7 linked regions of the Daphnia pulex genome follow. The protein of the gene in region 1 purifies or fractionates together with the protein of each later gene. This does not show direct contact. Links are inferred from orthologs where the notes say so. Each region holds a gene or a part of one and is shown on either strand. Other genes may lie near its edges.

The links.
Region 2: the proteins of 116 kDa U5 small nuclear ribonucleoprotein component-like (region 1) and E2F-associated phosphoprotein-like purify together in Homo sapiens (affinity purification with mass spectrometry; 4 studies listed by BioGRID and IntAct, counting the BioPlex papers as one, with this or other methods). This does not show direct contact. The link is inferred for Daphnia pulex from reciprocal best matches to the Homo sapiens genes EFTUD2 and EAPP.
Region 3: the proteins of 116 kDa U5 small nuclear ribonucleoprotein component-like (region 1) and peptidyl-prolyl cis-trans isomerase E-like purify together in Homo sapiens (affinity purification with mass spectrometry; 3 studies listed by BioGRID and IntAct, with this or other methods). This does not show direct contact. The link is inferred for Daphnia pulex from reciprocal best matches to the Homo sapiens genes EFTUD2 and PPIE.
Region 4: the proteins of 116 kDa U5 small nuclear ribonucleoprotein component-like (region 1) and tetratricopeptide repeat protein 27-like purify together in Homo sapiens (affinity purification with mass spectrometry; 5 studies listed by BioGRID and IntAct, with this or other methods). This does not show direct contact. The link is inferred for Daphnia pulex from reciprocal best matches to the Homo sapiens genes EFTUD2 and TTC27.
Region 5: the proteins of 116 kDa U5 small nuclear ribonucleoprotein component-like (region 1) and peptidyl-prolyl cis-trans isomerase H-like purify together in Homo sapiens (affinity purification with mass spectrometry; 3 studies listed by BioGRID and IntAct, with this or other methods). This does not show direct contact. The link is inferred for Daphnia pulex from reciprocal best matches to the Homo sapiens genes EFTUD2 and PPIH.
Region 6: the proteins of 116 kDa U5 small nuclear ribonucleoprotein component-like (region 1) and U4/U6.U5 tri-snRNP-associated protein 1-like purify together in Homo sapiens (affinity purification with mass spectrometry; 4 studies listed by BioGRID and IntAct, with this or other methods). This does not show direct contact. The link is inferred for Daphnia pulex from reciprocal best matches to the Homo sapiens genes EFTUD2 and SART1.
Region 7: the proteins of 116 kDa U5 small nuclear ribonucleoprotein component-like (region 1) and protein ecdysoneless-like purify together in Homo sapiens (affinity purification with mass spectrometry; 5 studies listed by BioGRID and IntAct, with this or other methods). This does not show direct contact. The link is inferred for Daphnia pulex from reciprocal best matches to the Homo sapiens genes EFTUD2 and ECD.

What each region holds. Positions count from the first base shown.
Region 1 is NC_060028.1:8,367,714-8,372,176, reverse strand, and holds the start of 116 kDa U5 small nuclear ribonucleoprotein component-like, read right to left. Parts: upstream 3,197-4,463; 5' UTR 2,977-3,196; coding exon 2,656-2,976; intron 2,588-2,655; coding exon 2,263-2,587; intron 2,191-2,262; coding exon 2,066-2,190; intron 1,995-2,065; coding exon 1,747-1,994; intron 1,684-1,746; coding exon 1,521-1,683; intron 1,450-1,520; coding exon 1,314-1,449; intron 1,242-1,313; coding exon 564-1,241; intron 494-563; coding exon 325-493; intron 256-324; coding exon 34-255; intron 1-33. UniProt on the Homo sapiens protein: Required for pre-mRNA splicing as component of the spliceosome, including pre-catalytic, catalytic and post-catalytic spliceosomal complexes. Component of the U5 snRNP and the U4/U6-U5 tri-snRNP complex, a building block of the spliceosome.
Region 2 is NC_060018.1:7,627,936-7,631,569, forward strand, and holds E2F-associated phosphoprotein-like, read right to left. Parts: upstream 2,125-3,634; 5' UTR 1,980-2,124; intron 1,909-1,979; 5' UTR 1,896-1,908; coding exon 1,396-1,895; intron 1,313-1,395; coding exon 1,063-1,312; 3' UTR 626-1,062; downstream 1-625. Other genes in the region: protein MEMO1-like, read left to right, coding at 2,493-2,541, 2,624-2,705, 2,816-2,884, 2,952-3,064, 3,122-3,233, 3,319-3,535, 3,592-3,634. UniProt on the Homo sapiens protein: May play an important role in the fine-tuning of both major E2F1 activities, the regulation of the cell-cycle and the induction of apoptosis. Promotes S-phase entry, and inhibits p14(ARP) expression.
Region 3 is NC_060020.1:8,629,617-8,633,423, reverse strand, and holds peptidyl-prolyl cis-trans isomerase E-like, read right to left. Parts: upstream 2,486-3,807; 5' UTR 2,187-2,485; coding exon 2,150-2,186; intron 2,086-2,149; coding exon 1,913-2,085; intron 1,836-1,912; coding exon 1,428-1,835; intron 1,369-1,427; coding exon 1,181-1,368; intron 1,117-1,180; coding exon 981-1,116; 3' UTR 895-980; downstream 1-894. Other genes in the region: uncharacterized protein LOC124191929, read left to right, coding at 61-88, 162-403, 481-583, 679-812. UniProt on the Homo sapiens protein: Involved in pre-mRNA splicing as component of the spliceosome. Combines RNA-binding and PPIase activities.
Region 4 is NC_060020.1:293,241-297,813, forward strand, and holds the start of tetratricopeptide repeat protein 27-like, read right to left. Parts: upstream 2,913-4,573; 5' UTR 2,808-2,912; coding exon 2,711-2,807; intron 2,637-2,710; coding exon 2,483-2,636; intron 2,424-2,482; coding exon 2,189-2,423; intron 2,127-2,188; coding exon 1,862-2,126; intron 1,797-1,861; coding exon 1,559-1,796; intron 1,499-1,558; coding exon 1,432-1,498; intron 1,372-1,431; coding exon 1,039-1,371; intron 984-1,038; coding exon 810-983; intron 744-809; coding exon 591-743; intron 528-590; coding exon 366-527; intron 306-365; coding exon 1-305. Other genes in the region: transcription factor kayak-like, read right to left, coding at 3,663-4,292, 4,360-4,464, 4,531-4,573.
Region 5 is NC_060021.1:7,373,996-7,378,667, forward strand, and holds the start of peptidyl-prolyl cis-trans isomerase H-like, read right to left. Parts: upstream 2,861-4,672; 5' UTR 2,802-2,860; coding exon of another isoform or gene 2,769-2,801; 5' UTR 2,747-2,768; coding exon 2,714-2,746; exon of another isoform or gene 2,682-2,713; intron 1,943-2,681; exon of another isoform or gene 1,570-1,942; intron 1,455-1,569; exon of another isoform or gene 892-1,454; intron 845-891; coding exon 680-844; intron 614-679; coding exon 437-613; intron 372-436; coding exon 279-371; intron 208-278; coding exon 10-207; 3' UTR 1-9. Other genes in the region: U6 snRNA-associated Sm-like protein LSm5, read left to right, coding at 2,769-2,801, 2,861-3,058, 3,132-3,170; serine/threonine-protein kinase mos-like, read right to left, coding at 3,201-3,356, 3,415-3,579, 3,655-3,814, 3,875-4,088, 4,153-4,510. UniProt on the Homo sapiens protein: PPIase that catalyzes the cis-trans isomerization of proline imidic peptide bonds in oligopeptides and may therefore assist protein folding. Participates in pre-mRNA splicing.
Region 6 is NC_060026.1:10,447,358-10,451,719, reverse strand, and holds the start of U4/U6.U5 tri-snRNP-associated protein 1-like, read right to left. Parts: upstream 2,864-4,362; 5' UTR 2,838-2,863; intron 2,737-2,837; 5' UTR 2,535-2,736; intron 2,454-2,534; exon of another isoform or gene 2,431-2,453; 5' UTR 2,418-2,430; coding exon 2,252-2,417; intron 2,197-2,251; coding exon 2,026-2,196; intron 1,969-2,025; coding exon 1,643-1,968; intron 1,579-1,642; coding exon 1,317-1,578; intron 1,259-1,316; coding exon 959-1,258; intron 894-958; coding exon 610-893; intron 537-609; coding exon 374-536; intron 300-373; coding exon 125-299; intron 60-124; coding exon 1-59. UniProt on the Homo sapiens protein: Plays a role in mRNA splicing as a component of the U4/U6-U5 tri-snRNP, one of the building blocks of the spliceosome. May also bind to DNA.
Region 7 is NC_060018.1:5,231,060-5,234,974, reverse strand, and holds the end of protein ecdysoneless-like, read right to left. Parts: intron 3,161-3,915; coding exon 3,073-3,160; intron 2,998-3,072; coding exon 2,819-2,997; intron 2,710-2,818; coding exon 2,568-2,709; intron 2,471-2,567; coding exon 2,291-2,470; intron 2,221-2,290; coding exon 2,095-2,220; intron 2,022-2,094; coding exon 1,841-2,021; intron 1,777-1,840; coding exon 1,462-1,776; intron 1,400-1,461; coding exon 1,215-1,399; intron 1,152-1,214; coding exon 951-1,151; 3' UTR 530-950; downstream 1-529. UniProt on the Homo sapiens protein: Regulator of p53/TP53 stability and function. Inhibits MDM2-mediated degradation of p53/TP53 possibly by cooperating in part with TXNIP. May be involved transcriptional regulation. In vitro has intrinsic transactivation activity enhanced by EP300.

The sequences.
Region 1 (4,463 bases):
TCAATGAAACTCCTTTTCGTAAATACTTGGTACCTGATGGGTTCTTCGCACAAGGGACCTTCTCGTGTGCCCCACTGGAATCCTTGAACGATGGAATCTTTGACCGTGTTGAGCAAACTCTTATTGACTTCAGACGGCAGTGTGTCGTCAACGAGGATGTTGGGTCCCGTGGAATCGGGGCCAAATGCCCAAATGGATCGGGCAGCCAACAAATCCCAATCGTATTTGCTCTGGAAAAACTCGCTCAATTTTTTCCTGCGTTTTGGAAAATTAGGAAATAATTATTCAACTACTCTCTGAAAAAGAATTCCAAGTCTTTTTTACTTGTTCCAATTGATTTGGACGACCCCATTTTCAATATCTTCGGCCAAACCTTTCTCCAGGGGTTCCGCAATCATTGTGATTTTATTCTTTTTGTTTGGAGTTTCGGCAAAACATTTCAGTGAGGACGTTTCCACGACCGTTTCGCAAAAAGACACCACAGGATCAGCAACTACAAGAAAAACCAAAGTGAATTAGTTAAATTAGAAGAATTAACAGTTGGGAAGAAATGAATGGCAAACCTTTAATGTCGATTTCCGAGTACATTTTCCTGAGATCGTGCATGACACAGTCCAGGTAAAGTTCGCCTGTTCCAAGAATAACGTGCTCGCCCGACTCCTCCACTCGCGTCGAGAGCAACGGGTAAGATTTGTTAACCTTACGCAGACCGTCCAACATCTTGGGCAATTCGCTGGGATTCACCGGCTCAACGGCAATTTTGATGATGGATTGCGTGTTGAATTTCAAGGGTCGGCAAATGTACAAGTCCTCGTCGACGTGAACCTGGACGATGGTCGACGTCTTGACCACTGAGGCATCGATCCCTTCGATCAAGACCCAACTGCCTGCCGTTACTCTATTGACTTCGATCTTGTAACGGGCCTCGTATATCCAAAGTCGACCGATCGTCAACACACGTGAATCTTCTTCGTCATTGAGCGAATAGTTTTCACCCAGGAGTCGGACGTTCTGGTGAGCGTGAAGGGTCCCACTCAGGACACGACCCAGGACATAGAATCCAGTGCAGTCCTCTGTGGGATACTGTTTGGTAGTATGGACAACCAGTTGGCCGTTGGGATCACAGTTGACCATGTCTTCGCCCAGGATGGACTCCAGGGGACCTGTGTAAATGTGTTCCACTTTGGTGCGAGCAGCCGTTACGGGCGACGGGACGTGTTTGACGCACATTTCCACGAAACCTACACACACCAGTCAAACATTGACATTTAAAGACCGTTGCTTCAATTCAACATACATTTTAATTGACATACCGCTGAAAGTGCCCAGGTAGCGACTGCAGACCAGTCTCAACAAGGGGCGAGTGTTTAACCGCTGTTCCTCGACAGTCAGGCGAATGCCAAGTTCGTCCAGCAACTGCGGTAGACTCGAATCCAAATCTCCCACAACCTAAACAAGCAAAAAATATTGGAAATGAATCAACTGTTCAAATTAACTGCAAAGTTGTCCTTGGTACATGCCTGGGCAAAGATTTTGTACAACGGCTCTAAAATGAACTCGATGAAACTTCGCTGAGCCGAGCTATGTGGCGGCTTTTTGGTGAACTTTCTCGTCTTGCTGTTGAAGTAAATGTCACCCCACAGACGACGTGCTAACTCGTTGTCGTTGATATCGGATCCGTATCTAAAATGAAAGAAAATGAAGTTTCATTTAAGACCGTCATTGCCATTGTGGACGTGTGCGTACGTGTCACTGTAAAGTTTGGCGAAGGATTTAAGGGTGAAGCAAACGGAGAACTGGGCAGAAGCAAAGCAGACGTTGCCCAACAAGGGCGACACGAATTTTGGATTCTCTTCGTCGCTGTACAGGCCCAAAAGACCGTTGATCTCTTCAATGATGTAGCGCAACTTGTAATATGCGTCCTGAGGTGGCAGCTTGAGCTCCAAAATGAGTCGATCGATTTTGTTGATGCAAACTGTGATGGCCATTTTCTCCTATGAAAGGACAGGGTTAAAAAGAAATTCTTGGAATAACCAAGTTGAAGTTTTTTTTTTTTTTTAATTACCTGGACGGCGTGCTTCAAGATTCGTTCCGTGTTGAGCATGACACCCTCGACAGCGTCGACAAAGAGGACGATACCATCGCAAAGTCTCAGGGCAGCCGTGACTTCATCTGAGAAGTTGACGTGACCTTTAAGAAACATCAAAATCGATTAAATACATTTTTCCCCCCCATTTTGCAAGTTGGAAAACTGTAATTTACCAGGTGTGTCGAACATGTTGAGGAGGAAGGATTTTTCGTTCAGGTCGGGCATGACCACGGTAATGGGCGTCGCTTTGATGGAAACACCTCTCTCTTGTTCAGTAAAGAGTGTGTCTGTGTATCTGACAGGCTTCTCCTCTCCACTGCCAGGTTTTCCCGTCTGGAGATCTGGGTGTGTTTGCATGAGCAGACAATCCATGAAGGAAGTCTTGCCATGGTGCAAATGACCAACAAGGGCCACTGAACGAATAAGTTCTGCAGAGTCCATGAGATCAGCCAAAAACTCCATGTTATACGTGGTTTCAGGGAGTTCTTGCTCAGCAACCTAATGAAAATGGGTGGAAACAGGTTAATCAACAAAATGAAATATGGCAGCGAAACAATTTGTGGTACCTGAAACTTCCTTCGTTTGACAGGTGCGATGATGGGTTCAGTCAAGGGCTGAGCATCTTCTTCCTGCACCAGTGTCTCCACACCAGGTCCGTAAACCTCCAACGCTGATGGATAGTATTTTTTGTCTTCATGCAAAACAATGGCCATCTGTGCGTCGCCATCAACCACCGTTTGATCCATGGCCTCTTCGGAATCATTGTCACCATAGTCTTCGGCTTCGTCATCGTGATCAGCCTCGTCTCCTTCCTCATTTTCGTCTTCATCTGACTCGAGTTCGGGTCCAATGTAATTGCCGAATTCGTCGTAGAGATCGGCGTCCATTCTTGACAGTCAACTGAGTCGTTTGCTGTCTGTAAATTGGGCAGATACTTTGGATGTTGTCGATCGGTATTCGGCTTAACCCAACACTCACAGTTATAAAGCTGTTTCAAAAGGGAATTTCAGAAAAGCCGGGCCTTTCAAGAAAATGCGTTTACTATGCGTACAGATTTGCACGCGCTCAAAACGAGCGACACTAGCGACATCTAGCGGGTGCCAATGAAATCTGAATTTAAGAACAGCGCCATCTACCAGCTAGCAGGTGGATTATGAGTGGCAAAAAAAATGAAAATAAAATAAAATGAATAAAATAAATAAAAATAAAAATAAATAAATAAAAATAAAATAAAAGAGAAAAAAAAAATTCACAGCGTAATAAAATGCAAATGGGAATCCCGTTGAGGGCGGGGTTTTCCCTACCCGAATAAGGAAATGTTTCTGGCGCTGTTTTTTTGCTTGTGCACTGGAAACTGAAATCTAGTTGTGAATTTATATAGATGACGTGTCAGTCGCTATCAGGTCGGGTCCACGACGGAAAAAAACATTTTGTAGGAGAAACAAAGTCAGTCGAACACGGGCGATAATATCAATCAAAGCGGGCGAAATAAGGAGTAAAATGCCGTCATGTTTTTGAATTGAATAACGGAATAAATCTCAGCAGTCGTCTGATGTCTACGCACACAGTGCAGAATTTCAGTTTTGCCGGGCGATGGAAGCCCCCTGGATGGGCAAGTGCCCTTATATGATTTATTGCTGCCGACTCGTATGGAAAGATATATTAGACGTCTTTATCTGCAGACGAGTCTACAGACGAGCGACCCCGATTTATATATTCGCTTGTTGGTTTGTTGTTGCCAAAAGGAAATCACAAAAAAAAAACCCAAAAAATACTTGGGATGATATGGGCAGATCGACAAAATCAATGCCGGCCATTCGGTGATGTAGACCAGCCCAGCCCAGCCCAACTAGAGTTCTCCTTCTGTCCATGGGTTCTCGGTTGATGGTTCTTTTTTTTTTTTTTATTCGGGATATAATCACCGTTATCGGCGATGCTTCGAGTTGCTTGTTCTGTTTTTGTTGTTTGCAGCAATGTCATCCATTGTGTAGGCGGATAGAATGTACCCGGTTGAATGTCGCTGCACACATTTAGACTTGGCCAACAGCAGCAATCGACTTCCTCCTCCTTATTCCTCGTGCGTGAATTTTCCGTGGGGGTGTCCAATCAATAGCCCGACAGACTCTGACTGAGATTTTTTTTTTTTTTGGTTTGTTTTGTTTTTCTCTTTTTAAATTTCTATCCATCATCTTTTTTGTGTCTGCGGGGGGGTCACTATACTGTCCGGTGTGCATTGCCACGGCGGTGTAGTCTGTCGGGAGTCAAGGCTTAATGGATCGCAATGATTATTGGACGGCATTCATTACTACACAATACCCTTCGACATGGATGAAGCGATTGTAGTTCACTGGACTCCTGGACACATTAGACTTAC
Region 2 (3,634 bases), on another chromosome or scaffold:
CATATAAAAAAAAACTTGTTTGGTTCAACCTTCATCGTTTGTGTCTAGTTTTGCTCTTTTTCATCCCTTAAATTTTCGTTGTTTTTGAACCATCTGTACACAAAATCGAGCAACGGCTGAGCTGGGTAGTGGTGTGAGAGAATGGCAGAAAAAGAAGCCCATCATTCTTTGATAGAATTAGTATTCTAGATGAATCTGCCGAGTGTGAAAAAAAAAGCAGGAAGAATTTTTTATGTTTGGAGTCGGCCAGTTTTCTTCATTCTATTTTTGAATGTTTTTCTTCATTGTATTCCTCCTCCCCTCCGAACTTTTATCCCATAAATTAGAAAAATCCATCCGTTCGATGACTGAGACACATTCATCTTCGAGCCCTAGAAACAACCAAATTATTTTCAAATTCTTTGTGGTGTGTTATATCCGCCCAACCTCTTTCCTCGATAAAACACAACCAATTTTGTCCACTTAAAAAAAATTAATAGACGTGGACTTCCTCCCTTTCCCGTTTTTTCAATCTTTGTGCATTGATTTTTGGGTCTCGTCTTCTTTCGCGTTTTTCTTTGTGGGTATAATTTTTCGTTCCCCCCATACTGTTGATGCTTTTGCGTTTTCCCCTTTTTTGAGGCTATTTTGTGCAAATCTTTTCCAATTTCGAATTCGATAGGGATCTGGGATAGGGGTTTGATGGTAGCCGAGTCGATTGGATAACACAGACACACAGGAATTATTTTGAATAAATATTCCTCTTAATCATTTGATTCCCACCCGTTTTACAGCGTTTCACATCATTAATTAGTTTTTTGGTTAAAAAAATCCCATGTTTTGTTCGCACAGTGCGGAATATTACTTTTGGGTGTGTGAACCGTTGCCCACTGACCCTTCCGTTATTTTATTTTCTTTTCACATGAAAAGAAATTGTGACTTCCTCTCCTCCCCCTTTTGATGTGTGGCGATTACACAAAATTTTTGTCCTCGAAGACTCTTGATTTTCTTATTACAATAACTTTAAGTGCACACACAAGTTTAACAACACACTGACAAAAATAATAACAGACGGGACTTTATTCAATGACTCGTAACGACATTGAAAAAATGATACACTTCATCACTATCAAACATAGCCACATGTGTGTTGCACGTGGAACACCGTACCGGATGATAAACATCTTCAGACCCACTGAAAGTAGGTTCATCTGACGCCGTCTTCTTGGAACGGTTTTTCTGTGACTGCAGAGGAATTTTCATCACCTCACTCATGTCTACTTGACAATGAAAAGTAAACATAGCCCTGTACTGTGTTTTGATAGTTTCATGCCTACAAGGTTAACATTCAGTCAATACAAGAGATTCAGCAAAGTCTTATGATGTAATTAATTAAAAAGCAGGTCGTATAATTACCTCTGACAGTCATGGCATAAAGTTGTAAAACATGCAGGGCAGTTCAACACCGCATCACTGTTAGGTAAAAGTTTGGGCTTGGCCTGATTCTTGAATTTCTTTCTGTACATGTCTCGCTGCTTTTGTACATAGGATTCATCTTTGAGATCCATTTGAGGATCATAAAATAATTCCATATTAGATTGTGCTTGAGCTGTTGAATCTTCTGTTTCGACATCTTCTTCAGAATCAGTGTCAAAGTAGTGATCTCTTGACTTGCTTTCTGTTTTAACATCACTCCCAAATTTTGTTGGATCTTGAATTTTTTCTTTCTCAAGATAAGTTGCCACACGAAGCTCCAATTCCTTGTTCATTTCAGCCTGAAAATCTTTCAACGACTTTTTTCCCCCAGACTCTGATTGCTTGTAAAATTCTTTCATAACCATTTCATCGTCATCGCTCGAATCGATGCCTCCTTCATCGCTGAACTGTTGGACAATGTAGTCGTCATCTGAATCCATTTTGGAAAAAGAGCTGAAATCGGTGAAAACAAGTATTTTATATACAGCGAAAACTAGCTTCACACTCTTAAAAGTTTTACTCACCGTTATTACACAAGAAACCAATATTGTTTTCATCAACAAGCATTAAACGATGGTCTTACGTACGTATAACTAAGCAAATCAGCATGTGCCCTTCTGTCAATTCTTTGTTGACATCGTTATAACTCGATTCTTTCAGGCGATAGGCCGATAGCTGCCACTGATTTAAAATTTCATTCAAATTGATTTAATGCCTATAAAAAGCTTTAAAAAATCTATCAGGATTTTTAAAAAATAATTTAAAAATAAAAATCATGTAACTTTTCCTGGAATTTTCGATTTCTGTAATAGTTAATTTTTCGCATCGTTGATTGCTTTCGGTCGGTCTGCTTTCACCCCCCAATGGTCCAATCCTCAATCACTTGTGTGAGAAGGACGGCTGGTTGCATTGTGTACAGTGGTGGTACACTGCTAGGTGGGTTAGGAAATAGGACTATTCTTAAATAATTTTAATCGAGAATAGAACTGGTGATATCCTTTAGATTAAAGATTACGTAAAAAAGGGTTATTTTTAACATGTCCGTACGAAAAGCATCCCACGCTGGCAGCTGGTATTCTGATTCGGGTAATATTGACACATCTTTGTTCCTTTGTTTAAATGGAAAAACATCATATTTTAGTTGTTTATCATATTTACCCTTTCCTAGCTAAGGAACTTGGTCGTCAACTCGATGGGTGGCTAGATGCAGCCAATTTCTCACATGGACCAGCAAGGGCTATCATTGCACCGTAAGTTTTTTAAATGATTATTTTTTTTTTACTTCTATCAATAAAATATAAATTTGTGAAAGTCTCTCCTGTGCGAAAATTAACAAAAGCTGTTTATTATTTTACCACAGGCATGCTGGCTATCGTTATTGCGGATCTTGTGCAGGTTTTGCATACAAACAGATTGATCCTACAAATGTGTAAAAATAAGCCTCAAAAATTTTTTTACCTTTTATTTTCCCATCAGTGTGTATGTTGTTGGAACAGGAAACGTGTCTTTATTCTAGGGCCTTCCCATCATGTAAGGCTGTCTGGATGTGCCCTCTCATCTGTAGCCAAATACCGCACTCCATTTTATGATCTCACCATTGATACACAGGGTAAATTTATATTTCACAATTTTGTAAGGGAAAATATTTAGTCTGTATTATTTTTAGTGTATAAAGAACTACAGGGTACTGGCTGCTTTGAGTGGATGAATCTGGAAACAGATGAAGATGAGCATAGCATTGAAATGCATCTGCCTTATATTGCCAAAGTTTTTGAAAAGTATGTGAATTTATTGCAATCAGAATTCTTCACATGCAAATTATTGCAATGTTGTTCATTTTCAAATATCTTGCTGTTTTTTTAGTCACAGAGATTTTACCATTGTCCCAATTTTGGTTGGATCGCTGTCTCCGGAACGTGAAACCCACTACGGAAGACTCCTTTCCAAGTATCTCGCGGACCCCAACAACTGTTTCGTCGTTTCATCGGATTTTTGCCACTGGGGTCAACGATTTCGTTACACCCACTATGACAAAGCATGCGGAGAAATTTTCCAGTCTATCCAAAGGCTAGATCGAGAAGTATAATCGTTTTTCCCTTCTCATTTACTAATATTTACTGTGCCATAAATGAACAGGGTATGTCCATCATTGAAACACTGGATACGGCTGGATTCACCG
Region 3 (3,807 bases), on another chromosome or scaffold:
AGTTGTCACGCTCAGTTGTCGCAGTTGGACAGAGATCAACTTATTCCTGTTACAGTGATCATGTATCGAGAGCTAATAATGATAAAAGGTTTTTATATTTGAATTTAATTCTTGCTTTACAGTACAAAGTGAACCAACTAATGTCGTTTTGTTAAATCAAGGACTGTTTTTAACGTGGCTACTGCTGGCGTCTGCCTTATCAGATCCCAGCCCGGAACCGTTTAATCCGAATTATAATAGGTTTCGACAAAAGATTCCTCGAATCGGCCGACGAGGTGAAGGAATCATCGCTGAATACATGAATTCAGAATCTTTTCCTCACGAAGGAAGTCTCTCTAATTTTTTTCTGAAGGCATCAAAGGCGGTTCCTCGTTTGGGTAGGCGCAAGGATATTTCCACGGAGGTGTGTAGTCCACAGTAGACGTAAAAAATCAGATAATTATTTCTAAACTTAAAAAAAAATATATATATCTTTCGAAGTCTGGTCGGGCGGCAATGGTTGGGGAGGAACCTTTTGGCCGTATATCCAATGAAATTCCCATTATGAATCAGAAGCAAGATTTGTGGCCTAATATGAATATTAGTAAATATCTTTTTTCATTCAAATACCTTACAGTGTCTAAAAAATGTCAAACTTGGGAATTTCCTGTAAACATACCAATTATTTTACTTGTTTAGATGAACTAACAGGCGCATTAAATAAAGAATTGAATTATCCGGGACCGCGGATACCCAAAGACCTGCAAGACAATTACATCCAAGATTTGATTCATAGCTGGATCAATCAATATGAAAATCTCAACGAAAATTAAAGGACCCATGACGTTAATGTTTTTCTTTTGTTTTTTTGTTTTTTTCCGGGAGGGAAGAGGGTTGGAATATACTGTAGTCCAATCAATTTGTTTGTTTATATTTTTCATGAGCACAAGACATTGGTCATTAAACAATGTAGTTAAAAAAAAGCTTCTTTTATTCATGTGTTACAATAGTTCTCCACAGGCGGACATAATGACTTTGTCAGTCGGTTTACCAGACTTTGTTCCGTACTTCTCCACTTTACGTAAAACATCTAGGCCGGCAAGAAGTTGACCAAATACGACGTGCTTGTTATCCAACCTTTGAAAACATAAAGGTGCTATTAGCATTATAACTATGATATTTTAACAGGGAAAAAACCTACCATTCTGCTTTGTCAAGGGTTAGAAAAAATTGGGATCCATTTGAATTTGGGCCTGAATTCGCCATAGACAGAATACCAGGACCGTTGTGCTTCAACGTAAAATTTTCGTCTTCGAATTTCCCGTTTCCACCGAAAATTGATCGACCACCGGTTCCATCACCGTTAGTAAAATCACCACCTTGACACATCTTTTGCAAAAGAACGTTAATAAAAATAAATATTGATTAAAACTGAGCTTTCCGCTTACAAATCCTGGAATAATACGATGAAAACTGGAATTCATGAATCCATAACCTTTTTCATGAGTGCAGAGAGCAAGAAAATTTTCAGATGTTTTAGGGGCGACATCAGCTCTCAATAAAATAATTATTCTGCCCAAATTGATTTTTCCAGCTTTAAGATCCATGTACACTTGAGGGTTGCCGCGAGGCTTTTTAGAAACTGCTGACTTAGTTTCAGATTCAGAAACATTGTCTTTCCCTTCAGTTGATTCCTTATTGTTTTCCTCCACTGGATTTTTATTTTCTTCTGTCTTTCCAGCATATTTTTGCAACCAAGAATCCTCTGACCAAACTGGTCTAGAATATCCTTCCTTAATTTTCCGAGGTCTTGCAATGTTTACAGTAATTGTTTTGCCAAACAACTCAGAATCATTCTGAAAGAAAGGCATCCATGATGGCAAGTAATTAAATATTTGTTTACTAGATAAACTGTAAGAAATTGTGAGAATACCATGTTATCAATTGCGGCAGCAGCATCTTCAGCTAGTTCATACTCAATAAAAGAGAAACCTCTATGTTTTTCATGATTTTCATAATCTGGAGGTATTTCTATATTAACAATTTCTCCGAAAGGAATAAAGGCTGCACGCACTACTGATTCATCTGCCTCATCAGGAAGGCCACCTGTTAAAATGAATCACAGTAAGCATTACATTTCGTAAGACTGAAATATGTTATTTGATCTTACCGACATAGATGTTTCGCTTGGCATTGTTAGATGACATGTTGCGGCACAAATTTGAATGCACCACAAGAAAGATTATCAAGAATCGAGGTTACGTGTTCAAAAACTTTACGTAAAGTATTGAAATTCTCAATGTTCAAAGCATCCCCATAAGCTAATGAGTAATATATAAATATCACTGTCTAAACCTTCCTTATTATTATGCACAGTGAGGACAATAATAAAATACCGATTCACAGGTTGCAGACTAATCAAACTGAAAACTGGCGTGGGCAAACAGTCAAACACGTTCGTCAGAGTGCAGAGACTGCAGACAGCATGTTTCGCTTCGTTATACGATCAGTAGAGCTAGAACCAAAGTGGCTGTTCCGCTTTTTAGCGACTTTTTGGAGATTTTTCCAAATTCAAATAGCCCATCAGATTATTTTATTTGAATCAAAATAAATTCAAATAAACGCAAAATAAAAAGGCTACTCCAAAACTAGTAAACTTGTTGCTTCTTCGCTGCTACTTTAAGGTATCTGATGGGAGGATCGCGGAATTTTTTTAAAATTGAGACTAAAGCACTAAACCAAAAATTTAAGAAAAATTTAACGGACATCGACGTGAATCTGACTGTTGGTTTTGCCAGTGATATAGGAAAAATATACATCTCTCTGGTATATAATAACTACAACAAGGAATTGGATCTAATAAATCCATTGACATTAACCCGCGGATTTTATCTCAAAATATATAATATTTGGGCCGATTTTCTTTAACGACAAAAGAGATCGCATAAATTTTAGAGGTAGATCTTAATAACGCGCACTTCTTTTTCGTTGACGTCTGGTTGTCTCAAATGCAAGTTCCGCATTTATTTTCAAATCTTTCTCTTTGTGATGAATAGCGTTTCAGTTATTCAATTAAAACCGAACCTGTTTTTTCACACTTCCGTTAAGGGATAGTGTACCTGCGTACGAATAACGGTTTTCTTTTTAATTAATTTGGAAAGTTAAGGGCTTAAGGCTAGGCTATCATAGAAAATGATTTATGTCAAGTAAAAAAATTATTTAGACGTATCTACTGCTACGTCTCTACTCTCTAGGCTTGGGGGAAGGCAACGTCCTTTTTAATGCATTAGGGAGTGCTGGATAGCATTTAGTATAAAAAGAGCTGTCAAGCGACAAGCATTAGTTCGTTCACTTCGTGGGCATAGCGCCTCTAGTGGCGTGCATTTTGCCCTAGGATCCAAAAGATGTACTAGAAATCAAGCACTTCCTGGTGCGTAAAGGGCTACATCTCAAACCATACATATGAAAGCGGACTAGCCACTTCGGATTCAACCCACCCGTCCCTATTCCTGTCACTGTCAACTCATAGTCGTCTGATCACTCTGATGTAAACAAAATGTGTAAAGTGTAAACTCAGTAAGATTTGAAGTCAAGTGTAAGCAGCCGTAAATTTCATTTTAACCAATTGTTTCATCTCTATTCGAAAAGAAAACCGCCGTGAGTTTATTGAAAAACTGTGAGAATATGAATGTGGTATAAAGTTGTGGTGTTAAATTAAATATATTTCCATTATAAAAAAACATGGGACGAACATCTAGAATCCGAAACAGGTTGGTTCGAATTGTGCATTCTCGCCCACTTCGGATTGATTCACATTCAGAATTCGTT
Region 4 (4,573 bases), on another chromosome or scaffold:
TTCTTTTCCTGGATGGCACTTCGATAGGATTTTTGCATGAGTTGAGCCACTCGAAAGGCCGTCGTTGTTTCCGTACCTCCGTTGCCAGCCAAAAGATCGGCATACACTTCCCAAACTTGTGCGTCATTGGTCACCTGTGAAGTTAAGCGGCCAAAAAGTTTTTGAACAACTGCACCGAGTCGATTGACTTCTTGGCCGTAATTATCTTCTTTGTTCTCCACGATTGCTTGAACCAATATTTTCAGCACTTGAACGTCGACATGTTTTTCTTTCAGTTCAAGGATACGGTTGTACGAACGTATGGCCTATAAATATGATCACTCGATAAAATGTTGTTCAGATGCAACACGATTAAAGGAACTTACTTCTTCATATTCGCAGCAATCGATGGATACGATCATTAGATTGTCCCAAATCTTCCAATTTTCATAGTTACACTTGACAGCTTCTTGCAAAGCTCTCCAAGCCCGAGTTTTCTGGCCCAGTTTGGCATAACATTTGGCTACATTATTCCAAGCCTCAAACGACTAAGAAGATGTGAACGTTGACGATTTATTAATTAATTTTTTGTGAACGTTTAGAGCACATACCTCAGAGTTCAGACCGCAATATCGACGGTATGCAGAGGCGGCAATTTCCCAGTCTTCCATATCCATAGCACAAAAGGCCAATCGAATCCAGATATTTTCCTGTAATCCATTGACTCTCAAGGACTCTTGAAAGTGGGGGATAGCTTCGCGAAGCTATTCAAAGACAAATTTAATGTAAGTCAAAAAGCTTCGTAAAAGTAAATAATAAAAAAATCGGACCTGTTTTTTGTTGTAAAAGTGCATTGCCCAATCTCGTTGAGCTCTAGCGCTCGAGTGCTTGGACAATTCCCATGCTTTTTCGTAATATGTCACATCATCAGTGCAATTTCCAAGTAGACACCACAGCTTGGGTGTTTCACCTTTTGCCAATTCTTGGCGGACAATTTCCTCTGCCTAAATGTTAAATTTTACAAGCTACTGAGGATTTATTGATACAACACGAGTTTACCTTATGTTTTCTGTCGAGTTGTTGGTAACAAGCAATAACACCATCCCACAGCTGGAGACGAATATAAATGTCTAACGCACTGCTGATTGCTCCAAGACTTTTAAGAACTTCGGCCAATTCGCTTTGAAGTTCACACTCGAGCGGAATTCGCGAAACATAAAAATATTCAATTCGACGATGTGCATCAGGGCTGACTTTTGCTAGAGAATCTGCTAGCTCTTGCAACTGAGAAAGAGCTCGTTCAACAGCGCGGCGCTGCGTAGACTCCAACTTGGAGCGCATCACCAAAGAGCTGACATGAAAAGACCAGATTTTTGGATAGCCTAAGATACACTGTAAAACATATTCTTCAACTCAATGTTACTGTAAAAAAAATGGAAATATTTGTCTCACGTTTAGTAAAGGTGATAGTTCTTCTCCAAGAAGGTCATCTTTAGGATGGAATTTTTCAATTTGAGTTCTAAAACAGAATCCATAAATTTAATTTACGCCACTGAACAAAAGTTAGAATTTTCCTTACGCATGAGCAATCAAAAGAGATTGGTACAGAGGAGGAAGATCAGGGAGAATATTGTCATCTTTGTTGATAAAGGCGATGTGATTCAAACGGGTGTCATCCTCTAATCGTACGTCTCTTGGCAGATCACTTGCTCGTTCGGTAGTATCTGTCAGCAGCGCCTCATCCATGTTGAAATGAACTTTGATCGTTAATTGGGGTAGCGGAGTTTGTTGATACTGTGTCCTTTTCCCCATTGCCCCTTTAGTAAACAAACATTTTCAACATATTTGGGGTGTTTTTTATGTTTTAAATTTTGTAACCTACCTGTCCATTCACATCTAAAACCAACAATCTCATTGGCTTTTTCAAAATGAAGTTTGGTTTTTTGCACTTCACCATACAGCAAGTAGGTGTAACCGAGCTCCAACTGCAGCAGAGAGCTGAAAAGCAAGTTACCTCCAAGTGATTCTTCAAGCTGATCAATCTTGCCAATAATGTTTTCAAGGAATGCAGAATGCAGCAATTGGGATGACTCCTCTAAGACTCGTTGGTGGACATATAAATACCTCATAAGCCACCAACCTGAAAGCTTTTCATAAAATACAATGAGAATCAATTTGCTATTCAATTTGTTAAACAACTTTAAATTACCTTGAAGTGCATGAACTGTTCCTTGAAGTCAAATAAGATGGTTTTTGCAGCCAAGAGCAATTGTAGGTCTTTAATGGTGGGAAATAAGCATTCTGCATCAATAATTAAGCATTCTTTGGATGCACTGTCTATCATGTCATCATCAGATGACATTTCCCATTTGTTGCATCCAAGCCAGTTACTTTGAATAAAGCGCTGTAAGGCAGATATCCCAATGCAAAGCAACTGAAATAAACTGAAATAATTGATAATATAAGAATTACTGCTGTTCAATTTATATAATATCAATTCTACCTGGTTTCATCACTTGAATTATCATGGCAAAATCGTTCAACTGCTTCTTTGATTGATGATTGTTGAATACCTGCTCCAAAAATCCTAATTGGACAGTGCTTTAGAACATCTTCAAAGTTTCCTTTTTGGATGTGTTCAATCAGGTCTTTGAGATCTAAAAAATTTTATAGCTGTCAAATCATGTCATTTTTTAACTGAGTACTACACTGTCACATTAATTAAACTCACCATCACATAAATGTGTCAGATCTGTTGATCTAAGTTGAGGATCCAATAGGGATAGCTCTACTTCAAGAGTTACTTGCTTTCGACACACTTCTGGCATTTTCTGTGGGCTTCGAAAAATGTAATCCTAAATGTCGCAGATGAAAGCGCGCTCGAGATTGAAACAACACGTGGGAAATGTCTACTAGCAGACGACGATAATTTTTTCTTAAACAGCGGAATGCGGATGACTGGATCATCTTGCTTCATGATGACTCATTAACCTAGGTTTTCCGAATATATTCATATAGAGCAACTCAATTAAACTCAATTTGAGTTTAATAAGCAATTATAAAGAATCGTTCAAAATTGAAGCTATCAAATGTTGTTTATTGCATCAATGTAAGCGGATTATACAAGGGTGGCATTCGATTTTATGACAAAATACAATTTGAAAACAAATAAAGGCATGGATTGGCAATAGACTTCGTTGTAGCCAATCTACATAAATTCTGCGTAGGAAAAAAAACCAAGGGACGGGAGCTAACAAAAAAAAAGGAGAAGAAACGGCGCTCGTTATCGAATCGCTCGAGACTAGTGGAGCAACGGGAATGCAAAAGGGTCCTGTGGGAGAGCAAAGGGGTAAACCACGTGTGAATTCAAACAACCCAATGTTAGTTTCTGTTGGATTAAAAACTAAACTTAGAAATAGTAGGAAGAAATTTTTTAAAAGCGATTCCCGCAATTATTAAGGCTTTTAAAGACATTGATTTGCATAGGTCAATCGATAGTGATTGAATGAGCTTGAAGAATTTTTTTAGTATGTAACATACTACAATTGTTTTCTTTCAGTTGTTTAAAAAATAAATATAGGGGGCAAAAGGTATACAAATCTATTTGCAACCTCATATAAGTTTTACCCAGTTTTTCCCCTAAAAAAGTAACTTCAGATTATAATTATCTACTAAGAAACGCATCAAAGTGAAACCAGTTTTCGGTTTACAGCCTCAGGACTGGACAAATCAACGGGCAGAGTTGTTCCATTACTTCCTGCGTTACTACGTTGTTGCTGAGTGCCACACGATGGGCTAGGCACAACGGGAGTGAGCCCTGTCCCACCCTCCATGAGCGAGTCAAAGTTGAATCCAGGGATTCCGGATGAAGGTGTAGTGATTGCGATACCGGCGATTTCATGCCAACTAGAATTACGCGGTGGAGCATTTGTAAAGGGGGAAGCGACGGGTAGCGTTGTAGGACGAGGGCGTGGTGCTATGGTAGGTCGGGTGAACTCGATTAAGCCGACGCCGTCTGATGAAGATTCATCGCTTTCGTGACGTTCCTCTTTGATTGGTTGCTGCTGAACGTGGGAGTGTTGTTGTTGTTGCTGCTGTTGTTGGGGTTGCTGGACATTTGGTATCGGCATTAGGTTAGGCATAGCGGGAAGTAGAGGTGCTTTGTTGTTCGACGGATAATGGCCCGTCTTTCTCATCATCTTGCACTGAGGTCTATGAGAATCCAAAAGCTGTTCCAGCTCTTCTTTGTGTTTTTGCAACTGACGGATCTCATTCTGCAAGATTTGTTTCTTGTCTTCCCACAACTCCGTTTCCTATAGACGGAATAAAGAAAAAACAGTTTGCATTTGTTTCTACAAATATCGCTGGCAAAATTATTACCTGTTGGAGAGCCATCGTATGGTCCAGACGTCGTTTACGGCAACGGGCAGCAGCTTGTTTGTTTCGTTCGCGCCGCATCAACCTTTTGCCCGAGTCCTCACCGGGCTAAAAAGCATGGAAAGTAATTTTAGTCTTGATTTCAATTATATTGAAAATCAACTCGATTATTACCTCGTCTCTGTCACGATCCTCTTTGCGTCGACCACCACCACGA
Region 5 (4,672 bases), on another chromosome or scaffold:
AATTTTTTGTTACATCTCACCACATTGGGATACAGACACTGGAATCTTGGGTTTGTTGTTCGGCCCAGTAGGGACATTCTCAATTTTCCTCACCACGAGTAAACCATCTAGAACTCTGCCAAATACAACATGCTTGCCATCCAAGAAATCACACTTGGAGCAAGTTATGAAGAACTGAGAGCCATTTGTGTCTCGTCCACTATTTGCCTGTAACAAAATCATTTTCAGACATAAATAGTGAAGTTCAAAGTTAATTAAGATCTGAGCAAACTAATTACCATAGATAGAAGTCCAGGGGAATCATGCTTCAAGTTGAAATTTTCATCATTGAAAGTATCACCATAAATACTTAAGCAACCAGTTCCATCTCCCTATGTTAAGGAATTAACAGGTTGTAAACCAAACTAAAAAATGTTTTACTAAACATTTTACTTACATTAAGAAAATCTCCTCCTTGAATCATGAAATCCTTAATGATCCGATGAAAAGATGTCCCTTTAAAACCAGTTGGCAACCCGTCTCGTTTGAATTCTCCTGTGCAGAATTGCCGAAAATTCTCAGCTGTCCTTGGTACAACATCAGCAAACAGCTCTATGATGATACGTCCAATATCCTGTTTTCAACCACTATAATTAAAACAAATGTTTAAGAAAATGGAATAAGCTATATAAAATCTTACTGTTGATCCAACTGTTACATCCAAGAACACCACCGGATTATTAGGATGCCTCAATTGCCCTTGAATCTGATTCCATGTCGGCATTTTAAATCGAACGCACACGTTATGTTGGTCGTTACAGCTTTGTAGCAGACTACGAGCTGACAAATGAGCGTCCAAGGTTACCTAGCAACGACAGCTGAAGCTCAGTTTTCAGTTTTCGTCTGCTGTCAAAACTTAACGGTCACGCCTATTGCACTCCGGGGTCCGGAGCGCTCTAGTGTCAAAAGTGGCTATTGCACTCCGGAGTCCGGAGTCCTCTAGCGTCAAAAGTGGCTATTGCACTCCGGAAATTTATGGCGACGAATGGCAAATAACGACTGATTCTGTGTTTAACATAAATACCATTCAGCCTGAGTTCAGAGTCTGTCTTTCATTCAAGCTTCAATTATAGTGTGAAAGAAGAGGGAGTTATGCACTGATCTGTGGTTTCACCTTTGTTACAATATCGTACAACAGGTCAACAGCATGTGATGAGTTTTTGAGATTTCCCCAAATGAAAAACAAACCTGATGCCTTCAAGAAATTAGTGTTTGACATTTTGAAAAAAAAAGGATCATGTTTGAAAAGTGAGATTTTACTTATTTCATCTATAAAAGTTTTAAGGTTTGCAGGATTAGGGGTTTTCGCTATTTCTTTACGTTTACGACCTGATCATGACTTTATATCACATAAGAAGAATGTTCTTCGATATCATTTAATAATGAAAGAAGTTGAGTGTGTATAAACAAAAACAGTAGGTTTACTTTCTACTCAAATTTAACACAATATATTTCACATAATCAGTTCAATCCTGGGTTTGTATACATGAGGCTACATAATAAGGTATTTATTTTTTACATTCGTGACAGAACCATTCGTCATCGTCGAGGAATATTCTTTTTACAACATAAGGGAGATAGATGTTACAAAATACTGGTAGTCAAAAAGAGGAGTGGTTAACTTTGTTTATGATTATCTCCGCGGCGTTGGAACCTAAAGCAACCCATCATCAAAGGACAAGGCGCTTCCATATTCCGCTCTTAAAGGATCTTTGATTGACGCCGCACCATGTGCTAATTCTTTCCCCTTAAAATCAATTACTTTTTCATTGTCAGTTCATTCATGTGATGACAAAGCACCGAGTGAAACTGAACACGAAAATACCAAGTATTTTTTCGCACTCACAATTCAGTTAAAATGTCTTTTGATATTCTCACTATAATAAAGTAAACTGCATCTGCATGTTAACTTAGTTTTGTATTGTTTTGTTTCAAGATATGAAAGACGTGTTTAGCTGTTAGTTTATTGGAATAAGAGACACGGGCATTGCATGGTTTATAGCGTGAAATCAGCTGAATCACACGTTACGTGTAAATCAGCAGAAATAGTGAGTTGCTGGTCAATGCGTTTGAAGGTCACAAAGAACCCCTCGAAGCCCCGTTCTGAGAACTCCGGCTCGACTTTCAGGCAGGTAAGGGGCGACAAAGGGTGACTCACTATATGCGTTTATAACGTGTATAAATCCTTACACTGAGCAAATAGAGCGAGAAATTGAAATGGTTAACAAGAAATATCACCCTGAATTGAAATGTTTATAAATTCTACTTTATTCCTGTTGCAAGACACTTAACTATATTTACAATTTGAATTTTAAGGTACTGATTCAATGTTGGACATTGTACTCTAAACTCTAGCTAAGTTAACGATAACGAAATAAAAGTTCTTTCTATACACTGACTATTTTTATTTATTAGTGATATTCAAATATATATGATTGTTATAAATACATTTTATTTGAATTTCCAAAGAAAAAAAATCTAAACCATTCAAATTTCAAAACACAGAAACAGAATGCCATCGGTCGCCAAATGAAAGTACTACATATTTCCATTCCGGAGTGCAATAGCCACTTTTGACGCTAGAGGACTCCGGACTCCGGAGTGCAATAGCCACTTTTGACACTAGAGCGCTCCGGACTCCGGAGTGCAATAGATTTTACCAAACTTAACTTACAAATTTTCGAAGTTGGCGTGGAAGACATTTCATTTTTTCCCTCTAATTAAATAAAATGGCTGCACCAGTACCCACGCTTTTACCTCTGGTAATACTTTTTTAAAGTTATGCAATTAAATCTTCACCTAAATTTGGTGTGGTATACAGGAGTTGGTTGATAAATGCATTGGTTCAAGGATCCACATTATCATGAAGAATGACAAGGAAATAGTGGGAACTTTGCTAGGGTTCGACGATTTTGTCAACATGGTGCTGGAAGATGTGTCAGAATTTGAATCTACTCCAGAAGGAAGACGTGTGACTAAGCTAGACCAGATCCTGTTGAATGGAAACAACATAACTATGGTAAGGATGCTATAGCAACATAATTTATTGTCTTATTACTTGAACTAATAGCCATTTCATGATTGATATTTAGTTAGTTCCTGGTGGAGAGGGACCAGAAGCTCATTCATGAATTTTTCTTTAATTTTCGAAAGACAATACATCATTCACTCAAATCCTTGAGAATATTTACAATTTCTGACATAGTTGGGCGGTCTTCAGGTTTTGGTTGCCAACAGCTTTGATAAAGCTTACTAAATGTTGTTTCTTCTTCATTACAATTACTATTGAGGACTGGTCTTTCATCCTTGGCAACAACCTAATAACCAACAAGAAACTTAACAATGAATCACATAAAAAGTCTAAAAATGAAATACCAGGTATGCTACAGTGGGCCAGTCCAAGTCAGAAAAAGGTATTTGATTGTGTTCAAATTGCCATAATGTTATACCATAGGAATAGACATCAGATTTTGTTGAGGGAACATCCCCTTGAAGTATTTCTGGGGAACAGTAAGAAACTGTACCTACTCTTTGTTGGTACTGAAACAGAAATTAAATAGAACACAAATTACATCCATTTTCAATCACATCAAGATATGACAAGATAAAACTAACCTGGAATAAATCAAGCTGATGAATGTTTGCAGAATTTCCAAAGTCTCCCAATTTAATCCATTTTTCACTTTTCACCATAATATTAGCAGGTTTCACATCAAGGTGCAGCACTCCATTTGCATGACAATATTCAAGAGCCATGGCTAATTGTGTCGAATAGCTGTAAATTAAAAGTATACCATTAATCTAATTGTAATTTGGGGAAAGTCTGATTAAATACCTGAGAATGTCTCCCCATGGAATTTTCAAAGACATGCTAAGAAGTTGTTGAAGGTTAAGGGAACCCCAAGGTTCCATTAAAATTAGAACATCATCATCAACTTTCTCTATTTTAAGAGTGCTGATTATGTTGGGATGTGACAGCTTTTCCCCATTTATTTCATTGACCTGTTCTTTTGCAGCATTCTTTATTATTTTAACAGCAACTTGTGCATCTGGAAAATTAAATTACAGTACTGGTTTTTAAGGCTTTCAACTTTGATAAAGCGATCATATTACCTTTATACTTTGCCAACACAACTTGACCAAACCTTCCCCGTCCTAGTACATTAGATGAGTTGAGAGTGGTCTTAATTTTTGAAGCAAAAAGCAGCCTATGGGGACTATCAACAGAAAGTGAAATACTATCTCGTTTCTGAAAAAAATTATTTGGACTATTGAAGTTAAAATGGCTAGATGATGGGGATAATGAAGGTGTGGATTGGGGGTTGCACTGTGGAAAAGGTGATAACAAGGTGTGATATTGAGTGTGACCAGCTGGAACTGGACTCAACTTCAAATGATTGGGACTTTTAAAATCTTTAATAGGTAAAAAGCTTTTCAAACTAGCAGCTGCGACACACGGAGATCGTGACATGTCTTGAAACCCAAAACCCAAAACTGCCCTGTAGAATAAAAAAGGGGGGAGAGCTAAAACACTGTCTCTTTTTAACGTTTTCTAAAACCTTTTCCAAGATACACCCACCTCGACAAAAATATTCTAATTTAAAAGTGTTTTTCGAACCCACTCCGTATGTTT
Region 6 (4,362 bases), on another chromosome or scaffold:
CTTTAAATTCTACAACCGGGCCATCAAAACGATTTCTTCTTGAATATTTGTCGTCCTCGCTGAAATAACAAAATAAAATAAGAATAACTGAATATCGTATAAACAAAACACAAAATAATTGTACGCTGCTTTATCTTCTATGGTGTAGCGCTGCGCCTGCAGCTCTTGGGCGGACTTAGAAATAACTATCCTCTTCTTCTCTTCTTTCTCCAGATAGCCTTTGCTCATAGCCAATTTCAAAGCTGCAGCCATTCCCGAGCCGACATCAGGTTCCTCGTCCAGGATAACAGTAGCGTTATCTATTTTACAGAGAGAAAAGAAAAAAATGCAAACACTGACAACAATAAAAGTGACGAGAACACAGTATACATACCCTTTTCATTACGATCGACATCCATGCTGTCGTCGGAACCTTGATCGTTTTCACGTTCCAGAACATTCCATCCACCGCGTTCTTGAAGACGCTCAGCCTCCCTTTTTCGCTCTTCTTTTTCTTGATTTCTTCTGCGTTCTTCTGCCAACTGTCGCTCGAAATCCTATTGCCAAAACAGAAACGCAATTAATTAAAGTCAAAACCAAAAAAAAAAAAACATTCATGCAATGAATTACCATTAACTCATCTTCGTCTTCATCACGATTGCCTGCCATACCATAGGTTGGTATGTCACCAAGAGTACGACAGAATTCTGCTGTGGCATTCAGTATGATACTACTCTTCAGAGGATCCTCTTCCATACCTTCCGTTTCTTCCAAAGGCTCGCGTTTTAATGACCGCGTAATCATGTTCATGTCCCACTGATCAGCCTTCCTTTCTTTTAGTTTATTAGCTTTTAATAGTGCCTGACGTATTTCTTTTTGGGATTCGTCTACAGTAATCTTGAATCCGCTTAAATCTGGCGTTGGATAAACAAGACATAATAAGTAATAATAAAACAATATACTAGTCAAACTAAAATACCTTCTGTGACCTCTTCATCCATTCTCTTCTTTCGAGATCTCGATCCCAAGTCTGACGAAGTTGTTTCTTGCGTTTCTTGAATAAGATCGTCAGCTTTTAAAATGCCGTCGCCTTTGGATCGAACCTTTTTGACGCGACGTTTAACTTTTTTGAAGGAAACCATTTCTTCTGCTGTATAATATTCAGATGCAATTTGGAGCGGTCGCGATTCCAGTGATTCAATTTTCTTCTGTTGCATTTTGAGTTTGTCTTTCATCAACTTTTGGGCTTTCATTTTGGCTTCTTCATCTCCAATTTTACCTAGAATTTTAACATAAATATTTTTGTAAAGATCAACAAAACAAATCTAATATTTTACCTAGGACAAAGCTATCATGTTTTTCTCCTTCTATTTCTGTGTCATATTTAGCAAGCAAGAGCTTTGGTTTGGGAAGGCCCAATTCATCAACTTCTTCCTCTTCATAGGGCTGATATCCCGGTCTCTGTTTCTTGATTTCATTGTTCTTTTTGTAGCGTTCTATATCAACAAGGTTGACATTCACCAAAACATCCCCTTCCTCTTGCAAGATGTTTTGATCTTTAAGAGTCAATACTACTTCTTTCCCTTCAGCTATCATTTCCTAACAAAATAAAGCAACATCAACACAGGTATTCAAATAAAAGTATACGTTGTCGGTGACTTACCCGGTCATGTTCTACTTTTATTCCTCGTAAGTCTCTACTTGTGTATGCTTTTGCTTTTTGTTTAATCAGTTCAGTAGTTACCATATCTCCTACACCAAATGCTTCATCCATTTCTTCAAGCATTTTTGCTCTTTTATTAGCTTCTTCCTTTTCTTTCTGAATCCTTCTTGATTTTTCAACCCAGCTAACAGCATTGTCATCATCATCAGCTGTTGTATGAGCAAGAGTGCGCACTTGTGCAAGCTTTTGTTCTATTTGCCTCTTTTCTCGTCTTTCATCTAGTTTTCGTCTCAACTCTTCTGTGGCTTTCTTTTCACGGAGGTTCTCTAGAGAAATACCACATTTAAATTGTACAAGTAAAGACATTTAAATGAAATCATTACCTGCTGGGACATGAACATCCTTTTTCTCAGTACTGGCTTCAACATTTGAATTTTCTCCTCCAATCTCCAATGGCTTCAAACCAAGTTCAGCTCTTATTCTGTTGGTTTCCTCAATCGAAATGGAAGTATCATTGGTTGAATTAGCAACTGGTCTTTCATCATTCCCTTTTCCTTAAAAAAAATTATTGGTTACTAGTTACTAATAAACATAATTTTGAATACATACCTGTCAACAGTTCTTCGCTCTGAATGTTGAGACTTATATCTTCCTTTATTTGTTTGGATTTGACGGAGGCATAACTTTTTGAATGTGATCTTGACGGAGACCTAGATGGGGAACGATGTCTTCTTTTTCGAAAATTATTATGATCGCGACTTTCTTTTCGGTCCATGTCTCCTTAAGAACTGAAAGAAAGTAGTTTAACTTAGGTGGGAAGTTTTGATTTCTTTAAACATAAAATTTTTTTCAATAGAATTCCTTAAAATATCAAACAATAAAAGTAGGGTACCAGAATCTGTATTCACTTAATGATCTTGCAACAATTTTACTTCAGAACTTGAGAACTGAGAAGCAGACTTCAGCTTTTGCAATATTTATTTTGATGCCGTTGGGTGTTGGTAAATTGCTAAATGCGGGATTGGAAAGCGGGGACAAATACAAATCCATTGATTCCGCAACAGATGGCGTGTTAATCCTCCTATTGAATAAAACTTAAAAAAAGAAAACAGAAGATAAATTTATCCGTAAATCAATAAAGGAAAAACATAATGAAAACATTAAGGCCAGTATAGTTTTTAACTATTTGTTTTACATGTGAAGACTTGTGCGGCAAAACCAAAAGTCCAAAACGAACAATGTCGTTGTCGATTTTTGTTTATACTAAGGGTTCCAAGATTCCGCACCAGGTTCGCTAGTGAGGTAGGCTGATCGCCTCAAAGACTATAGATGTTATTCCAATGAAAAAGTAGTAGTCGAACAAAAAGTCCTGCGCAGTTTACGCCGATGCGCACCACTGCGGCCGATAGCAGAACCAGAGCAATAGATGCCTGGTCGGTTCTCGGCTGTGTTGGCTTCCCTATCCCGGTTTTAGGGTAAACGTATCCCCGATTTTCAGACATTTTAGGGCGGAGCTTGTCAGAATTGTGAAGTAGAAACTGGAAACAGAGCCATCTAGGCTCTCAAAAGTAGCTAAGCGTAGTAGCTGACACACTCACTAGAGCGCTCATTCCAGTTTCCAAATCGGACCACGTTTACCCTGAATATAGGGTCTGTTGGGGTGACCACCCCCTCTCGATTTTCGCAGCGCTAGGTGGCTTATAGGATGAAGCCCGGCATGGCCGAAAAACGAAGAAATTTTTAGAAATTTTTTCAAAAATTTCAATCGTTAATATCTCGGCTTCTGAGCCGAGCATCGAAAAAACATGAAAATTGTTTGAAGAGGTGGGCTATCCCATCATTATGAAACAATTCGAATATTTCCAGGTGCAGCAGTTGACGAGAAAACTGCTGCACAAAAAACGAAAAAAATTCCAAATTTCGGCTACCCCCTCTCAGTTTTTTTAAAAAAATCTCCCAAATTACAAAAGCTAGGCGATTGCGGTTTTCAGCAATCGACTTAGCGAAAAATTTTGCACAAAACCCATCTATTTGTTAATTTTTAGAACCCCTAGCGACGATTTCCGCTAAATCAAAAACGGCCTCTTTGAGTGGCGAATCGCTTGTTGAATCGTTAGGAATATTGCTCAATTCCAGTTCGAAGTTGCCTAATTCCAGTTACGACAAAAACAGCAAGATAGAGTTGCATTTTGGTTCGGAGAAATAAACTGGTAATACTGTGTTGTTTTTTGGTGGTATATCTTCGTTCCATCCAAATATTTCTCTGTGCAGAGTGACTGGCAAGTTCGATTCAAGAACATACAACAACATCCTCAAAGAACATATTCTTCCTTTTTGCAAGATGAAATCAACTAGACATATTGGTGTAGTACATGACTGGTAATCTTATTTTCACATTACAAATTAAATTTCTTGTGTGTGTATGTTACCGAATATTGTTATCAACTGTTTATAGGTTCCCGGTTAACCGCAGCAAAGCTGCTATGAAATTTGTTACTGAACCAGAGGGTAACATTGTCATTCTTGATTTGCCTAAATAATTCGGGGACGCCATACCCGTTGAAACTGTTTGACTGAAAATGATCAATGAGTTCACTCGCGGATTTGTGACGGCTACTAGTGAAGAAGGTTTATTGTGAGAGGATTCTATGATTTGGCAAAAGGTGTGCCACGTAGAATACATTCATCAACTAATTTCAAACATTCCGCTATAACTTAAA
Region 7 (3,915 bases), on another chromosome or scaffold:
GGAATTTTCCATGTAACTTGTTAAAGCTAGTTCGTTTGATAATATTGATCACCATAGAGGTTCAACATGTATAAAATTCTACGTATTTCACTTACCCCGCCAATTTGGCTTTTCAATGTTCCCCGCGGAGTCGCCGCTGAAGTAAGGACTTCGTTATGCACCATTGATGCGGAAACTGCGTAATGGCATCCTTCAAACTTACTCAACTGTATTATCATCAAATCCGTTGAGAACTCGATGATTGGACATTTTGGTATGTTGGCAAACAATTTAACGATACTCAAATTCATTAGAACTACTTCAAAAAGCCAAAAGAATAAAAATAATGGCCAGACGCGAATTAAAATAGCTTGTACCTTGCCCTTTTGACTCCACATTTGTGCGCATACAACAACTTAGCAAAAAAAAAAGGTATTTTTAAAATCTGGAACAAGGATACGGGCTGGAGGCAAACCGTGACTTGCGTGGGTACGAGTAATTTGACCCCACGAGTCGTTCCGTTTGTATCGACTTAATTTACAAGACGTGCTCAGTGTGAATCCTCGTGTATCTTTCAAATGGCAGCTATAACGCCAAAAGACATGGAAGAACGCAAAGAAGGCGAATACATAAATCCGAAATGTATTAGGAATGGAGCTGGAAATGGAAAAAAAAAAAAAAAGTCCCGTTATACAAACCACCTCCACCGAGCGTTGTGTATCACAGAGGGATAGCAGCGACTGGCTTTTGAGAAATGTGTCAGATTCGAAAAGGTGAGGGACCGAATTTTTTAAAGAAAAAAAAAACCGGAAGTTTTTATCAAAAGACGAATCATAATAATAAATTAAACCTCAAATCACCCAATCGCATGGGTAAGAGGAAATAGGGCGGATGAAAAGACATCGATAATAATTACATAGGGAAAGAGTGAAGAGAAAAAGAGGAGAAAAACAAACGTAAGGTCACAATCTTCAGTCGGTTTGTTTTTTACTGGCTGATACCTGGCTCCGAGAAAGATTCAATTGATTCAACAAAATAGATGCAGGACCAGGACCACCACGCTGCATTGTGTAGGAAGCAAGAAGGGATTCAAGAGCAGCAGAATCAATTTTTACGGGTTGAAAGTTTTCCACATCGCTGAAACTCTCACAACCTTCGCTCATGACGGATTCCTGGAAACGAATTCGATGGCTTATTACCAATTGTTTGTTAATTCCACACACACAAAAATTTACCTTGCGAGTAGGGTTGTCTACGGAAGTACGATGAACATCCGTGGTTAACAATTCTTGATCCATTGTTTGCATGTATTTGTTCATCTCCTTGTCTACCAACTCGTCGCCTTCTTCCTCTTCACTGTAGCTGCTCAAACAAGAAGAATTTGATTCCAAATCCCAATTGTCTTCTGGCAGAGCGAAATCTACAAAAGATTTTTTTTTTATTATTTTCAAAGTCCAACAAATTTACAAGAAATTGACGTACCAAGAATCCCTTGCATTGCGGATGCAAAACTATCTGGATCGAAACCAATGTTGGTAGAAAGTTGGGAAGCGTCAGAGGCGTTTGAGAGCGTTGACGTCTTCCTTGAAGGCGGAGCTAGGTGAGAAAGCTTTCTGGATTTCTTCCTGCCGTTGGCCGGCGTAAGACCTTCATAATCTGACGTCCGATTGAGGAAGGTTTCAAGTTTAGGCAAGATATCGGCCTTGGCCTCGTCATCATCATCGACTCCCAACAAACTAAATTTGTCGCCGAGAATTTGATCAAGGGTGGCAGGATCAACAGATAGCCAGGAGTCATCTGTATTGAATAACAACGAAACATGAGTTGCAGTTCTACCAACGTCTTACAAGTGAAACCTTACCGTCATCCGCAGGTAAATGGGATTCTACTTTCTTGAATTTGTCGACATCGGCACAAACAGATTGCATCAGTCTTAAAATGACAGGTTTCTTTGCCGGTCCTTCTACTCCCACACTATTGATGTAAAATTCTCGAGCTTTTTCCATAAGCTCATTATGTGGTTTAGAACCATCGAGGAAATCCTAAAAGAACAAACAGAAATAAAAACACAAATTACTTTGTAAATTTGACAAAATAACTTTCAGTGAAATTTACCTGGAAAAATCCTTTTTCTTTCAGTGTGTTTAGGAATCGATTCCAACGTGAATCCATGTCCAAAGAATAATCGTCGTCTTTTTGGTGTAAGGATTCCTCGTTAGCCAGTAATTCAAATCCAATAGCCTGAAATGATTTGAAAACATAAATAAATTCAAAACAGAAAAGACAAAATCAGATAAAAGAAATTGCGTACAAGTTTCATGCCAAGGTCTGAACCCGTTCGTTTGGAATCGCCAATCGGTGGTAAAGACCAGCCAGTCCTGTGATCTGGCTGGTAGTTACGGTGAACAAGCATAGCATAAAGACATTTTGTGAATGTCACTGACGTCCATACTCGAGTTTCTGGGGGAAAGAAACGCATGGCGCGGATAACCTACGTTACATAACGGGGGGAACAAAATAATTGATTAAACCTTGCCTTCGGGAGCTCGGGTTTGAGCTGACATTTTAACCAGACACTTTTTAAATACCTGCAGTTGAGAGGCATCGCGCTGACAGAATGCATGAATAGCTGGTGCTACAAGAGTCGGATAGGATTGCAGCAAAGCGGCAACACCAGCAGGCACGAATACATTGCAACGGTGAAGACTGGAATCGATTTGAGATACGCACCTGAATTAGTTGAAAGAAAAAACACACACACAAAAAAAAAACCAGGGGAGTTGTCCCCATTACGAAATGGCCTTAAACTCGAAAACAAAATTAGAAATTTCAAATTTACTTGTCAATGCGCTGGTGGATTGGCTCTTGAATGGGAGCGGGTGCTATGGTCAAGTGCGGCATGGAACGAACAATGTGAACAGCGTCCATCAGAGAAGGCTGGCCTGACGGTAAAGGAGTGATACTAGAGGGACGATCAGCTATACTGATTATATGAACTTGACCACCATGGATAAAAACCTGTAATTTTCAGAGTGATAAAATTATAACTTTGTCAAGGAATTCCAAAAAAAAGAGTTAAGCGAATAAACTTACCCTGTTGATGCAAGTTTCTGGGTTGGCCCAACGCGGAAGACTATCGGCAGCTTCAACCAGCAAGAATTCACCATCTGAATCAACAATTCTGTGATGGGGAGAAGAAGAAAAACAAAACAAACAAACAACAAAACTGGTTAGAATATCAATTGTCTAGACCATCCGGTTAAATCACTAATTCAATTATATCCGCAGAAACGGCGGACCACTGGCGCGATGCTTAGTGTAATTGATTGAAAAAGTTGGAGATGCCAAAAATAGTCGCTTACCAATTCACAAGGTTTTTTTCTAAAATAGATTAACTGCGAGTGCGGCAAAGCCAGCAGTTGCACAATTTAGAGCATGTTGGTGACATGTTGGAATTGGGTAAGTAATCAACGGCGATTCACGAAAACAATTTATCGCTTGTAGGGGACAGGAAAAAGACTTCCTGACGAGAGAGTGCAAGCGAATATAAAAATAGCACAGAGGCGGCGATGTGGCAAAGAAGTGGGGAAAAGAAAAACAGGAGAGATAGAGAGGAGAGAGAGAAATGGAGAGCTCCTGTTGTGTCTACGTGAATGGAAGTTCGGCGGACAACTGAGGACTTCAGGTGGACCCGCACCTTCCTTTAGAGTTGCCTTTGAGTAGTGTGTCCAGGGCCGACTCAAGCGGAGGGAGGGGGGGTAATGGGTGGAGAGGGCGGGCTACGGGAGGTGGGAGGCGATAGGGGGAAGAAAGAGGGAGGTAGGAGAGAGAGAGAGAGAGATAGAAACAACAGCCGACAAGGTCAAACGGAAGCCCGGCCGCAGTGCGCCAGCGCTGCAGCAGCAGCAGCCGTATAGCAAGTCAGAAAGAAAAGAA